Linked DNA regions of Caenorhabditis elegans. The protein of the gene in region 1 purifies or fractionates together with the protein of each later gene. This does not show direct contact. Each region holds a gene or a part of one and is shown on either strand. Other genes may lie near its edges.

Evidence for each region. The genes of interacting proteins can lie anywhere in the genome.
Region 2: the proteins of clh-1 (region 1) and eef-1A.1 purify together in Caenorhabditis elegans (affinity purification with western blotting; one study listed by BioGRID). This does not show direct contact.

The regions. Positions count from the first base shown.
Region 1 is NC_003280.10:11,851,817-11,859,185, forward strand, and holds the start of clh-1 (CBS domain-containing protein), read right to left. Parts: upstream 4,646-7,369; coding exon 4,446-4,645; intron 2,930-4,445; exon of another isoform or gene 2,928-2,929; coding exon 2,799-2,927; intron 2,755-2,798; coding exon 2,698-2,754; intron 1-2,697.
Region 2 is NC_003281.10:6,968,109-6,974,920, reverse strand, and holds eef-1A.1 (Elongation factor 1-alpha), read left to right. Parts: upstream 1-3,208; 5' UTR 3,209-3,240; coding exon 3,241-3,384; intron 3,385-3,437; coding exon 3,438-3,606; intron 3,607-3,654; coding exon 3,655-4,475; intron 4,476-4,524; coding exon 4,525-4,782; 3' UTR 4,783-4,895; downstream 4,896-6,812. Other genes in the region: Putative serine/threonine-protein kinase F31E3.2, read right to left, coding at 316-459; rfc-4 (Replication factor C subunit 4), read right to left, coding at 1,306-1,392, 1,440-1,670, 1,724-1,856, 1,904-2,160, 2,226-2,286, 2,335-2,429, 2,475-2,553, 2,600-2,661; F31E3.12 (uncharacterized protein), read right to left, coding at 4,902-5,031, 5,073-5,243, 5,293-5,378.

The DNA of each region.
Region 1 (7,369 bases):
AGAACCGTGATGATGAAATAGTGTGGTAGAGGAAGTGGCGGAGGAAATTGTTGGCGTAATTTGGGAGGTGCTGAGGGAAAATTTACAGTAATTTGATTTAAACACGACTGGAAGTCTAGTAAATTCCTATTTTCTATTTTTCAGTACAAGGGCAATCCGGTATTATATAAAAATACTTTACTATTTCCCCTCTACTTTGACAGCTCAAAACTCACTTGCCTTTGGATTTATCAAAATATTGTCAACTGAAAAAATACGTGCAAAATGTGTCTCTATATTTTGATAAATGAAAAATTTTTGATAACAATTAAGACAGCCGAGCTATAAGCCGTAGAAGCATTCCATCTTCCAATTGCATATTCTGGCGTGAGCTCAAGTAAGTTCCTTTCTTTTCAGCCCTAGCGGCATCTAATTTTTTATTTTCCAATTTCTACGAAAAAAAACTTATCAAGTCACAAAAAAGGGAAGAAAAAAGTGAGAATCAGAGAAAAAGTTCATAGTCCAACAACCAGTTCACCCCAGGTGAAATAGTGTATTGCGGATAGGAGACGGAATCGATTTGGACGGTGTCTCGGTGAAGAAGAAGATGAAAAGACAATGTATGTTCTATGGAAGTTGAAAGACCGATCAGAGAGATGACACCGCAAAGCGGAAACTGTTTGGAATTTCAATTTATCTCTCTCGAGATAGTCTTTGGCTTTTTGTCGTGGAAATTAACTGCGATTTTTCAATTTATTTTTCATGTTTGATAAAATTCCAGCTAGTTTTTGCAAATTAGGAGCAGTTGGAGGACATCAAAACATTGGAAAAAGAAATTGGAAAATCAATGTTCTCACTAACTTAAATGGAGTTTAATACTTTTCACAATTTTGAATACCTATCGCAAGTGGCTAAAATCAACAAAAAACTCCCTATTGTAAAATTGTGCGAGCAAACAAAAAGTTGCCTATTTGGTAAACGTGAGACCTTAAAAATAAGTATGTAAGTGGAATTCATTATCCAGCTTTAGATGGAAACAAAACGTATTTACCAGAGGTGTGCGGCAAATTTGCCGAATTTGCCGATGCATTTTCACAGCTCATATCTCGGCTAGTTTTAGCTTTGCAGAAAAAATGCCAACTAACAAATTACGTAGGCAAACGATGTTTTCCGGCAGATCGGCAAATCGTCAAATTGCCGGAATTTAAATTTCCGGGAAATCGGCAATTTGCCGGAATTGAAAATTTCTGTCAAATTGTAGTTTTGCACTTTTTTTTTTTGAAATTTAAGGATTTCAATTTCAAATGGAAAAATTAAACAAATCCTATAAATGTTCCTACATCTATTTTGAAAAATAAAAAAATTCTATGAGAATATCTAGAAAAAACGGAAATAATTAAAATGACACAGTTAAGTGTTTCCGTCTTGTAAAAAAATCCCTCAAAACGTTTCCGGCAAACGACAAATCGGCAAACCGGCAAATTTCCGGAATTGAAAATTTCCGGCAAATTGGCAAACCGGCAATTTGCCGATTTGCTGAATTTGTCGACAAATCAATTTGCCGAACGGCATTTGCCGCTCACCCCTGATTTATACCGAGGACTCAAAATTTTTGTTAATATTAATTCTCCATTACCCAAAATCCCCATAACCCCTCTAATCACCTGGTCTACATTTCTCAAATCAATAACTTCCAATGTCCTTTTCTCTTCCTCAATTAATTGTCTTATTTGATTCGTGTGATGGCCGGAAGCGTGTCCACTAAGGAAACAAGTCTATTTTCGGTGGCGTCCCCCAATTCTTTCTTCCCCCATAAGTGATAAAGAAACACCATTTACTCATAGGGTTGTGTATCTTTGAACTGATTCAACAAAAGCTTTCAGATTTGGATGGTTATTTGGGGAAATGCTAAATGGGGTATTCACATGAAAAGCCTGCCAGACCCCTTGGTCATGTTTCTATTTCCGTTTCTTTTCATGATAAGAATGGTATTCGTATTCGCCTGCAAGAACTGTGGTATGATCAGTTTTCGCCCATATATGAACGATAATGATGATGATGATCGAGACTCACGAGATGATGAATCGAATTAGAAATTGAACAAATTGATAGTTTTTCTTTTTCTGACACTTTGGACTTCTATTTTTGGTACTTTTGGACAAAAAAGGCTTCAGGTCACAGGGGATGACTACAAAATATGTTTACTAGGGATAATTTGTGAGTAAAAACATAGAAAAACTTTTAAAAAAAAGCCACCGACATCTGACGGGTAACAAAATTTTTTTGTTTTTTTTATTTCAATTTAATTTATTAAATTCCCTGTTACTATGTCTGGATAAATTTTGTCAAAAAGTTATAGCAGCCGACAGCTCGCTGGACCAAACTGCATCGGTTTGGGGTAACTTATTGAAAGCAGCCGACACTTCACGGGCTGTCTTGGTAAAGTTTTGACTAGTTTTTTTTTTCAAAGCAGCCGACGCCTAGCTGGACCAGAGTTTCAAAGCTTGGCTCAGCTATTAAAAGCAGCCGACCCCTTGCGAGGCCACATAGGATAAGGTTTTTTAAGCAGCGGGCATCTTGCGGGACCATTGGGAAAGCTCAACCTTTAAAGCAGCCGACACTTTGCAGGTCGGCCGGATTTGTATTCTAGGATCAACTTCAAACGCAGCCGACACCTAGCGAGTCCGTTTCATAAAATCCACACAACACCACACAAACCTATCACGATATTCATTCCATTCCTTTTCCGTCGGCTCAATCGGGCTGCATTCAACACTGCAAGAAAAAACACACTAACAATCACACACTAAGTTGCTCACTCTTCCATTAACATGTGGGGTCTCGCAGTGAACTGCACAATGTCCGATGGAAGGCTCGACTGGCCCGACGATTGAGTGTCTTCGCCACGTCGTCGGTGCTCCTCGTCGACGACGACGGCGTCTTCCATCCTGATGTGCAGAATCAATTAACAATGAAAACTACACGTAAAAAGTAAGAAAAAGGAGGCGAACTGTTAGGTGATGACACTGGGGGCAGAAACACAATCGAGATGAGAAAGACGATACAATATCAATAATTCAAAATATTCTTCGTTTTTCTTCTTTTCTCCGTTTCCTTTCTCCCCTTCTATCTCTATTCCTCTCCAATCACACAGGTGTCTTGATCGATGGTGACAAGAAGTTAAGAGTGGGTGGAGCCTCCTTCACAGACATTTTTCACAGACATGCGCATGCGCAATGGATGATCAAGGGGAAGGTGAATGATACAAAAGGGGGTATAGAGAAGCTGCAATATACTCCACACAAAGCTTATCAATTGACTACTTGTTTACTTTTCGACTATTTTTAGCTGTGATAATTTTTGGGTTTTCACTTCTGCTTCAGACTGTATGGCTGGTTAATTTTTTTTGAGTTTTCAGAATTAAAAAAAAACATGCTCTTTTTTAAATTTACATTTTGACATCAAATTGTTGTTTATATGTGTTTTAATTCTGAGGGGCAATTTTCCGGCAAGTTGGCACATTGCCGGAATTGAACATTTTCGGCAAATCGGTAAACCGGCAAATTGACGATTCCCCGGATTTGCCGGAAAAATGGCAATTACCGAATTTTTCCGGCAAGTTGGCGGAATTTAAAATTTTTGGCAAATCGGCAAATTGTCGGATTTGAACTTTCCGGCAAATCGGAAACTTGTCGGAATTGAAAATTTCCGGCAAATCGGCAAATTGCCGGAATTTAAAGTTTCCGGGAAATCGGCAAATTGCCGGAATTGAAAAATTTTCGGCAAATTGATATACCGGCAAATTTACGATTTTCCGGATTTGCCGGAAAATTGCCGAAATTTCGAAATTTTCTGGCAAGTTGGCAAACTTTCGAAATTAAACTTTCCGGCAAATCGGCAAATTGCTGGAATTGAACTTTTCGGGAAAGCGGCAAGTTTGGTCTTGCACGTTTTTTTGGAAATTTCAGAATACAAATGTCAATCGGCAAAATTGTACGCATCCTATGAATGCTCCTACATCTATTTTGAAAAGTAAGAAAATTCTATTCTAGAGAAAACGGGAACGAAATTTCAAAAGGGCACAGTTTTTTCCGTCTTATAAAAAATCCCTTTAAACATTTCCGGCAAATTGACAAATCGCCAATTTGCAGAAAATAAAAATTTCCGGCAAATTTACAAACCGGCAATTTGTCGATTTGCCGAGTTTGTCGACAAAAAAATTGCCGCCCACCCCTGATTTGAATATACCTATGTATGCATTAAATATTGATGACTCATGTTTGATACCCAAATAAACAAGTTCAATTATTTTTTGAAACTTTTCCAAACTGTGAACCTTTTTGAAATCCGGTTTTGAACTCTTAACAGAGCTAGAATTTGGTGCTCATCTGTTTTTAAGACTTATAATTGCCAGATTTATTAAAGTTGACAATTTTAAATTTTCCCAGTGCTCCAGTGAAACTCACTTCAAAATGCTCCCATCCTCTGCAATACTCTCCAACCTCCTCGATGTCAAATCAGTGGTCGTTGTGCCCGAAGTGTCAGCGGATGATGTGGTTGCCTGATTATTGTAGTTCTCATAAGGAAGTGTCATGAGCAATGGAAATGCTCCTTTATCCGGATTCACCGCGAACAAGATGGTTGCTCGCGGCGAGTTCCGTCGCATTCTCCTGAAGAAATCCACTTTCGATCTGGAAGGCTTGAAGTTTTAAAGAAATTCCCGTGGATTTCACGTGACTGATAGTGAAAAGTAATAAAAAAAAGAAAAGAACGGAAATGTAAGACAAAGGATGTTAATCATACATGTACATACATGTATGTACATGTACATACATGTATGTACATGTATGAATGATAAAAAACAATAAAACCTTAGAATATATCTAGTCATATAACTTTTAAAAATTCTGAGAAATTCTATAAATGTTTTTAACAATTCATCGTTAAATTGAAAGCTGAAAAAGTCAGAGAAAATCCCGGAAAAATAAGAGGCAAATAACGAGTTGTCGTGGTATAAGAAAGACTTCAAAATATTTGGTTTTGTATTGTCTGCTTTTCCAGCCAGTGGCAGTCACGGCGATTTGGAGCAGCCCACGCATACTCTGACGTGGGGTTTTCAGTTATAGAGATTTTAAGAAAAGCCAAAGCCTAGAAAGGACAGATTTCAATAAAAAAAAAGCACATGCCCTCAAGCCTGCCTATGCGCCTACAAGGCAGATAGGCACAGCTTGCCTCGTCAGGTATTTTTGCACATACATTAAAGTCTGGCTCATTATCCTAAAGATGTCTATGAAAATTCAAATTTGCCGGTACTTGGGCCAATGGACAGAACATATTCATTTTCTCTAATCCCGATTCGTTCATGTTTTTGACTTGCATGATATCAGTGAACTTACCTGGCTAAAATATTCTAAGCGAATATTTTAAGCTCCTCAATTTTCGGCACACACTTCTATCTTAGCTTCCTCATTTATATTTTGGTTATATGTAGAATAGAAAATAGCTTGATTGGGTAGATGTGAACAAAATTAAAATGGATTCAAATTGTAAAGGTGGTGTAGTCCAATCTTTTTAATTGATTTATTAGACTCGAAATCGTCTGAAAACACCGAATTTCAAAATGAATCTTCTTGAAAACTTCTCAAAAAAAAGTTATGGCGGCTCAAAAAATGACCTAAAATTAGTTTTTGGTTGTCATAATCTCCAACTTAATCCTCATCTGTGGGACTGAAAGTCATTGGAGCAAAAAAGTGAAAAGGAGTTTTTTTTTTCAAATTACGAGTTACATAAGATAATCCACCACGTTTAATCCAATTTTGCTGAGAAAAGTTCAAGCGCGTGTCTATTCAAACAGGACTTTGTTCAAAACATCAAAGCTTCCAGACAAGTTTTTCTAACAATTGAGCGAGAAAAAAAACACGGAGCCAATTTTCACAAGAAATCCAAAATTGGTTCTAAAGAAGATATTGTGTTGAAGAATACTTGAAAAATCCGCAATGACGGGGGGGAGGGGTGTTTACCGACGGCGCCAGAGAGTCAGTTAGAGCTTTTGAGATTAGTCGTCAAAAAAACATAGGGATTCCCGAAAAAAGACTGGAAGAAGGAAGCCTCTGAATGAAATTCGAGACCATCGTGTTATGGTCGATGACCTTAGATTACGTGGCACCTGCGAATTAACAGGGAGAAGAAGCCACTAATTTCAGTACTATGAGCAATTGGAATTAGGATGTCATAATTGTTGGTGTCTCGGTGTGGTGAAACAACATTTGAAAAGGAAATTAACTTTTGCTGAGAATTCTGAAATTTTACTGATAAGAAGAAGAAAAAAAGAAAAAGAAGGAGGAGAAGAAGAAGGAGAAGTGAAAACAAAACTGACTCATTCTGTCTTCAATTGGAGCCAGATTTTTTAATTTTTCTGACGAATTTCCAGACTACAACAATTTTGAGAACTCTGAAAAATACAAGTAATTTGATAAGAGAATCTCGAATTTTTAATATTTGATAACACAGATTTTTATGAGAAAATGTATACAAGTCGTTAAATGAGTATTCAAAATATGGGTCACAATGATGCCACACTTTAAGTTTACAATCTAGGCACAAAATGCCTACCTAGATGCCTACAAGTCAGGTGTTACTTGCCAAGAAGGTGATCGACGTTTTCACGCCTAAGTAGGTAGGCATAGGTCGCCTTCAAGGCAAACTCTATAGGCAGGCGGGTATGCATTTTTGCTACAACTGCCATTAAAGTCAGGAACGTTCTAGAATCGTGGCCGCGAAAACAAAATTGGTGGCCGAGCTTTTCTAATTTTTTGTGTCTTTACAATTCAAAACTGATTTTCGATCACTTCCTTTTACTCCAAAAAGCCCCAAAAAATCCCAAAAAAAAACCAAAAATTACAACTTTTATTGTTTTCGTTTCCGGGTAAATGTGCGCGGAAATAAAGGCCATTTCCGAAAATACAACTTTTTTTTCGAAAAAAAATTGTCTACCGCAATTATGTGTGCAATTTTAGAACACAGCAGACACACAAAATAAGGCACATTTTTTTCGTGGAAAAAATCTGGTGGCGACCAAAAACCGAACGGAAAAAGCTGGCAAAGGAAGGAAGTCGCTTCAAATTTCAAAGGTTTTCGTGGAATTTTGGATTTTTTGATTTAGATGGGGGAGGCTGGAGAGAGGGTTTTATTCATTTTTGATGAGGGTCCGGGTTCAAATGGGGTGGAGAATGTGAAGGATTTGAAAATTGGTAGAAGGCGGAATAATTGTTGGTTTTGTTGGTAAAGAGCAATAAAAATTTATAATTTCTAGGTTTTCGATATATACATATGAGGAACACATTTTTGAAAATTTAGCTAGAAGATTAAAGACGCATAGCAAGTTTTGGCG
Region 2 (6,812 bases), on another chromosome or scaffold:
AAGTCATAGTTAGGCAGCTCTAAACATAGTTAGGAAGAGTTATTCAGAGTAAATCAGATCGACAAAGTACAATCAGACCAATTCCGAGCTAGGCATAGTTAGGCAGATCTAGGAATGAGCTAGGCATAGTAAAGCGTGGTTACTCCGAGTAAAACCACACTTGCACCGAACTGCGGTTAGTGTGCTTTACCATTATGTAACTCCGCTTTTTACTCTGAGTTAGTATGATATGGTTTGTCTGAGTTTTTGAATAATTTTTTAGTTAAAACAAAGAAAATAAGTGGATCTTTCAAGGTTTTTTCAGTTCTCAGTCACCTTTTGATATTCATTTTCAGCCTGCGGTTCTCCAATTCTTAATCTTTTCTTCGCTGGTCCATCTTCATCGTCGTCTAGATTTTCCTCATTTCTTCCAATGTGATGATGACATCCGGGCCGTTTTCTAGTCGCCACGTTACCCATTATTGCTGCTGTAGCAGCTGTAAGCCGGCCAGACGGTGATGGCGAGGAAAGTTTTTTGGAAAAACAGACAGTAGGAGTGATTAACAAGAAAACGGAATGTCCCGTGGTTGTGGCGGAATGATGAAAGAATTTTTGGGAGCAGGAGGAGGAGAAGAAGAAGGACACAAACATACAGGAAAAGAGCAAACAGAGACAGTGAGCAAGTGTGATCAGGAGCAGGTACACGGATTATAAGCACTGAGACACATTGACTCGATCAAATTTGAGTACTGATCAGACGGTGGACTTTCGAATTGACCCCACTTTCTCTAATATTAGTACAGAGTCAGGAAGCTTCAATTGAAATCATATGGAAAATGAAGCAGAGCTATAGTAGAAAAGAAATTCACAATGAAATGGGATTCAAAATTGCCTCAATTCAAATTCTCACACAAATTGCTTGAGACAAAAAAGCTCTTGAAATTGGATACTTCCACTTCTTCAGCTTCATACCAAAAATGAAAACTGCTCAATGGGGCGAGATTACTTAGAAAATGGAAGGGGAGCCGAGTCTTCAAGGAGCGAAAATCGATGGGCGACAGAGGGTGAAAAACTGAGCGGAGAGCAAAATAGTTGGGAGGGAACTAGTAGTTATTTATTCCAAACTATCCTATTCGATATTTTGTATTCAACTGAAAAAAAACCTAAGCCGAATTGTACCTTCAAAAAAATATAATAATCTCAATGTTTTGTCGAAATTTGAGCACAAAACTATTGTTTATAGAATGTTAAAATTTATATATAGTACACGTGAATTTTGAAGTTGAGAAATCAATGGGCAAATTGAAACCGTATTGTGTTAATTTATCATTGGATAGTTTCACGAAGAGTGAGCAGAAAGTCGAGGAGATTGTTTTCCAAATCACATCCATCCAAAATTCGCTTTTCGCAAGTCTGAAATTGAACTTTCATTTCTATTTATGTATTCATCTTCCACCAACCGCAACCAGTTTCCCCATTACTCCAATATTCTCGTCATTGATAACATCTTCATCCATCAACTGTTGGAAACAACGACGAATGAAAGCAACACCAGTGCACGATTTTGTGATATCCTTTGTCAATGCAATTATTTGGGGAACATCAGCAGTCAGGATTGATTTGCAAACGTTTGAAATGAGTAAACTGTCCGAAGAACCACGGAGATAGCAATTTCGAGCATTGTCATCGCCCTGGAAATATAAAGTACTATTTTTACACAATATTTATAGAAAAAACAACTAACACTTTTCAAAATTGGAGCCAATGACTGAAGTGTACATACAGCTCGTCTCAAATCACCTTCTGAATATTCCATAACTTGTTTCAGTTCATCATCACTCATGGGAGTTCCTTCTGCATCACAAATTGTTCTCAATCTAAAAACACCGAAAGTTATAAAAAACACTTAATTTTGAAATTTCACCTTTGAACTTGAATCTCGGCTGGAAGTGATTTGAATCGGAACTTGGCACAACGGCTCACAACTGGAGGAATCAATCGGGAAACATAGTTGCAGATGAGAATGAAGCGAGTAGTTTTGGAAAAATCTTCAATAACTCTGCGCATTGCTGCTTGTGCTTCTCGGGTCATCGCATCAACTTCATCAAGTATGATAATTTTCAATTTGAGAACATCTTCCCTATGGCTGTGGCCCAAAGATGACTTGGAGAAGGATTGAATCTAAACAGGAAACGTTTTTATAATTATGGAATTCTTAATTAATTAAAAATCAGTGGCAATCTTACTTTTTGACGAACAACTGCAATACCACGCTCGTCCGATGCATTCAAATCAAGAACCCTATCGCTGAAAATATAATTATTGGAAAAAATTATCACCCAGTATTTCACTTACTGGAAAATATTTTTTGGGAAGAGTTGGCGGCAAAATGCAAGAGCTGCTGACGTCTTACCAGTACCTGGTGGTCCATAGAACAAAAGATGTGGTAACTGAAAAATTAAAACGATTAGTTTGAATAATTTTTTAAGCAATACGTCTCTTCCTTGAAGCGCTCCTTTCAGCATTGTGACGACTTCATCCTGGTATGCAATATCGTCTAGCGTTTTTGGACGACTGAAAATTTGAATTTACTTTGCAAATCGAAAAACAAAAAACTAACTATTTTTCTGTCCAGGTGAGCACCTTTGGTCTTTTATTGTCAACTTCCATTGGTTCTTCCATTGTTTCTGTTAAATTAATGAATTTTTCATAAAATAAAGACATTATACAATATAAAAATGAAGAATTTATTGAAAATAAACTGCCAGAGAGAAAAAGTATGCAACACTCCCGCCGAGAGTGTTTGAAATGGTGTACGGTACATTTTCGTGCTAGGAGTTAGATGTGCAGGCAGCAACGAGAGGGGGAGAGATTTTTTTGGGCCTTGTGAAATTAACGTGAGTTTTCTGGTCATCTGACTAATCATGTTGGTTTTTTGTTGGTTTATTTTGTTTTTATCTTTGTTTTTATCCAGATTAGGAAATTTAAATTTTATGAATTTATAATGAGGTCAAACATTCAGTCCCAGCGTTTTTCCTGTTCTCACTGTTTAGTCGAATTTTTATTTTAGGCTTTCAACAAATGTTCTAACTGTCTTATTTGTGACCTCACTTTTTATATTTTTTTAATTTTTAAAAATATTAGAAGTTTCTAGGATAATTTTTTCGACTTTTATTCTCTCTACCGTCCGCACTCTTCTTACTTTTAAATTAAATTGTTTTTTTTTCAGTTGGGAAACACTTTGCTCACTCCGTAGCAGCCATGGGAAAAGAAAAGGTTCATATCAACATCGTCGTCATCGGACACGTCGACTCCGGAAAGTCCACCACAACTGGACACTTGATCTACAAGTGCGGAGGAATTGACAAGAGAACCATCGAGAAGTTCGAGAAGGAGGCTCAGGAGGTAAATAGTACAAACAACTAGTTTGAAAGATTTTCTCACCCGATTTTTTTCAGATGGGTAAGGGATCTTTCAAGTACGCTTGGGTCCTCGACAAGCTGAAGGCCGAGCGTGAACGTGGTATCACCATCGATATCGCTCTCTGGAAGTTCGAGACTGCCAAGTACTACATCACCATCATCGATGCCCCAGGACATCGTGATTTCATCAAGAACATGATCACTGGTACGACTTTGTTAAATTTTTAGCTCGTTTATAAAACTTTAATTGCAGGAACATCCCAGGCCGATTGCGCCGTCTTGGTCGTCGCTTGCGGAACTGGAGAATTCGAGGCCGGAATCTCCAAGAACGGACAAACTCGCGAGCACGCTCTTCTTGCCCAGACCCTTGGAGTCAAGCAACTCATCGTTGCCTGCAACAAGATGGACTCCACCGAGCCACCATTCTCTGAGGCCCGTTTCACCGAGATCACCAACGAGGTTTCTGGATTCATCAAGAAGATCGGATACAATCCAAAGGCTGTTCCATTCGTCCCAATCTCTGGATTCAACGGAGACAACATGCTTGAGGTCTCCTCCAACATGCCATGGTTCAAGGGATGGGCCGTTGAGCGCAAGGAAGGAAACGCTTCCGGAAAGACCCTCCTCGAGGCTCTCGACTCCATCATTCCACCACAACGCCCAACTGACCGACCACTCCGTCTCCCACTCCAGGATGTGTACAAGATCGGAGGAATCGGAACTGTTCCAGTCGGACGTGTTGAGACCGGAATCATCAAGCCAGGAATGGTCGTTACCTTCGCTCCACAAAACGTCACCACTGAAGTCAAGTCCGTTGAGATGCATCACGAATCTCTTCCAGAGGCCGTCCCAGGAGACAACGTTGGATTCAACGTCAAGAACGTCTCCGTCAAGGATATTCGTCGTGGATCCGTCTGCTCCGACTCCAAGCAAGACCCAGCCAAGGAGGCTCGCACCTTCCACGCCCAGGTCATCATCATGAACCATCCAGGACAGATCTCCAACGGATACACTCCAGTTCTCGATTGCCACACCGCTCACATCGCCTGCAAGTTCAACGAGCTTAAGGAGAAGGTAACTTATTTGTCTTATTGTTTCGTTTATGTACCAATTTGTTTTTCAGGTTGACCGTCGTACCGGTAAGAAGGTTGAGGACTTCCCAAAGTTCCTCAAGTCTGGAGATGCTGGAATCGTCGAGCTCATCCCAACCAAGCCACTTTGTGTTGAATCCTTCACCGACTACGCTCCACTCGGACGTTTCGCCGTTCGTGACATGAGACAAACCGTCGCTGTCGGAGTTATCAAGTCCGTTGAGAAGTCTGATGGATCCTCTGGAAAGGTCACCAAGTCCGCCCAAAAGGCTGCACCAAAGAAGAAGTAAATCTTCATTGTTGAGTTTATCTTGTTGATTTTTGAATAAATTATCAACTCTTTACTTTTTAATGGGTTATGAAATAAATAAACATTGAAAACTGATAAACAACGTTCATCTCTGTTAACTCAACTCCAGAAAATCAGCATTAACATTAATAAAGTGATAGATATAATGAGGCAAATAATCAAGACTTTGGCTATTGTGTCCTCGTTGTTCTTCAGCTTCGTGGTCCATTTGCAGTGTTGCTTCTCAGATCTGGAAGTAATATTTGGTATTCGATTGAGCTTGCTCCTCACCTTCGATCTAAAATTTCGATAGCATCTGGAGATTCATTGTTTCTTTCGTTGATATCAATTTCTTCTCGGGTGAACTGGTCCACATTTATAGTATGTCTTCTATCATCAAACAGCTTTTCCTTTTCAACTTCCATATTAACTTCGCTTAAGGCACGAGTTATCTCCGCCAGCCTGATTAGATCAATTTAGTACATTGATTTACAAAATTGGGAAAACGAACCGGAACATAGCAGGATTCAATATATTCTTCGGTGTATAGTAACCAGTGTCATCCTTCTCTTCATTTTCTGATAGTTTCTGCGTCATCTTAAGTTAAAAAGTAGTTGTAGAAATGATAAATGGATAGTATAGAATATAGTGAAACGACCGAGGAAAGGTGAAGTGAGTGCAGAATTAGGAGAAGCTTATTTGCATAATAATATAAATGAATGAACGACGAGGCGGAGGAAACAAAGAGCACCCACCCGAACGATCGGAGAGATGAGCACTTCTTTTGTATCCGTTCAGTGACTGGGTATTGACAAGTTCATAAATTACAAAGCACAGGAAATAAAGTTTCAGCTATCAATCAGTACAGTCTGTACAGATATCAAATTATCAACAAACAACGAAATCTTGTTAGGTTCAACAATAACACTTTATTAGTTTGGAAGAAAATGAAATTTTTTTTTAATCGATACCAAATTTGAAGAAATAAGTTTCACTGACTTTCTTCCCAGTGTGCAGTATACAACTTCCATTCACTGAGTTTTCAATCATTTTTTCCTGAATATAAATGTTTACTCTCACTCTCCCTTGGTGTTGCACAAACAATACATATTTTATGTTCGTAGTCTTGCAATTTATTGTAGATTTTCGAAAAACCATTCCTTAGCTCCCGATTTTTGGGATTACCTCTCAGGAATAGGAATTGACCACGTATATTTAGGCAGTCCTCTTACAGCTTGATCTCCGAGGTCAAACTGTGAAGAGTCCGCCAATTAACGTGTTTGATCTCTGTGGCTCGTATTCAGAGAGAGAAAGAAACAAACAAGAAATTTCAATATCAACTCAAATCAAACGGTGTGAAGATCTCAAAGAGACCATAACAAAATGTCTCTAAATTTTATCTTTTACCATCAAACGTTTTTCAAATTACCAAATATTTTTGCCAAATTTATCATTTCCAAATACTTTGGATTTTTCTGGTTGCTCTACGTGAATTTTTTATTTCGAAAAATTTGAGAACGCCATTTTACATTTACTTGCACTTTATCTAATTCAATTTGCTTTTTATTCAATGTATTCAAAAATATAGTTTTTCAAGAAGCATGGTTCGTTTGCTTGTTTTAATAATCGAGTCTCCCGCGTGTTTTCTTTTACGACACTCCGTTCTTTCGCTAGCGCCTCATGTTTACCGTAAATATACACTTATCATCACATGCACAAATTTAACTTTTCTCTTGAATTTAAATCACCAAATGTTAAAATTGAGTTGAGTTTTGTAAATCTCTTCGTTACCTATTTTTCACGCCAACTACGCTGAAACTCTCTCTCTCTCTCTCTCTCTCTCTCTCTCTCTCTCTCTCTCTCTCTCCTCTCTCTCTCTCTCTCTCTCTCTCTCTCTCTCTCTCTCTCTCTCTCTCTCTCTCTCTCTCTCTCTCTCTCTCTCTCTCTCTCTCTCTCTCTCTCTTCGCTTTTAAAACCTTTTCACTTCACGAAAACAATATTTTTTTCAGAATAATACTAATCATTCATAAT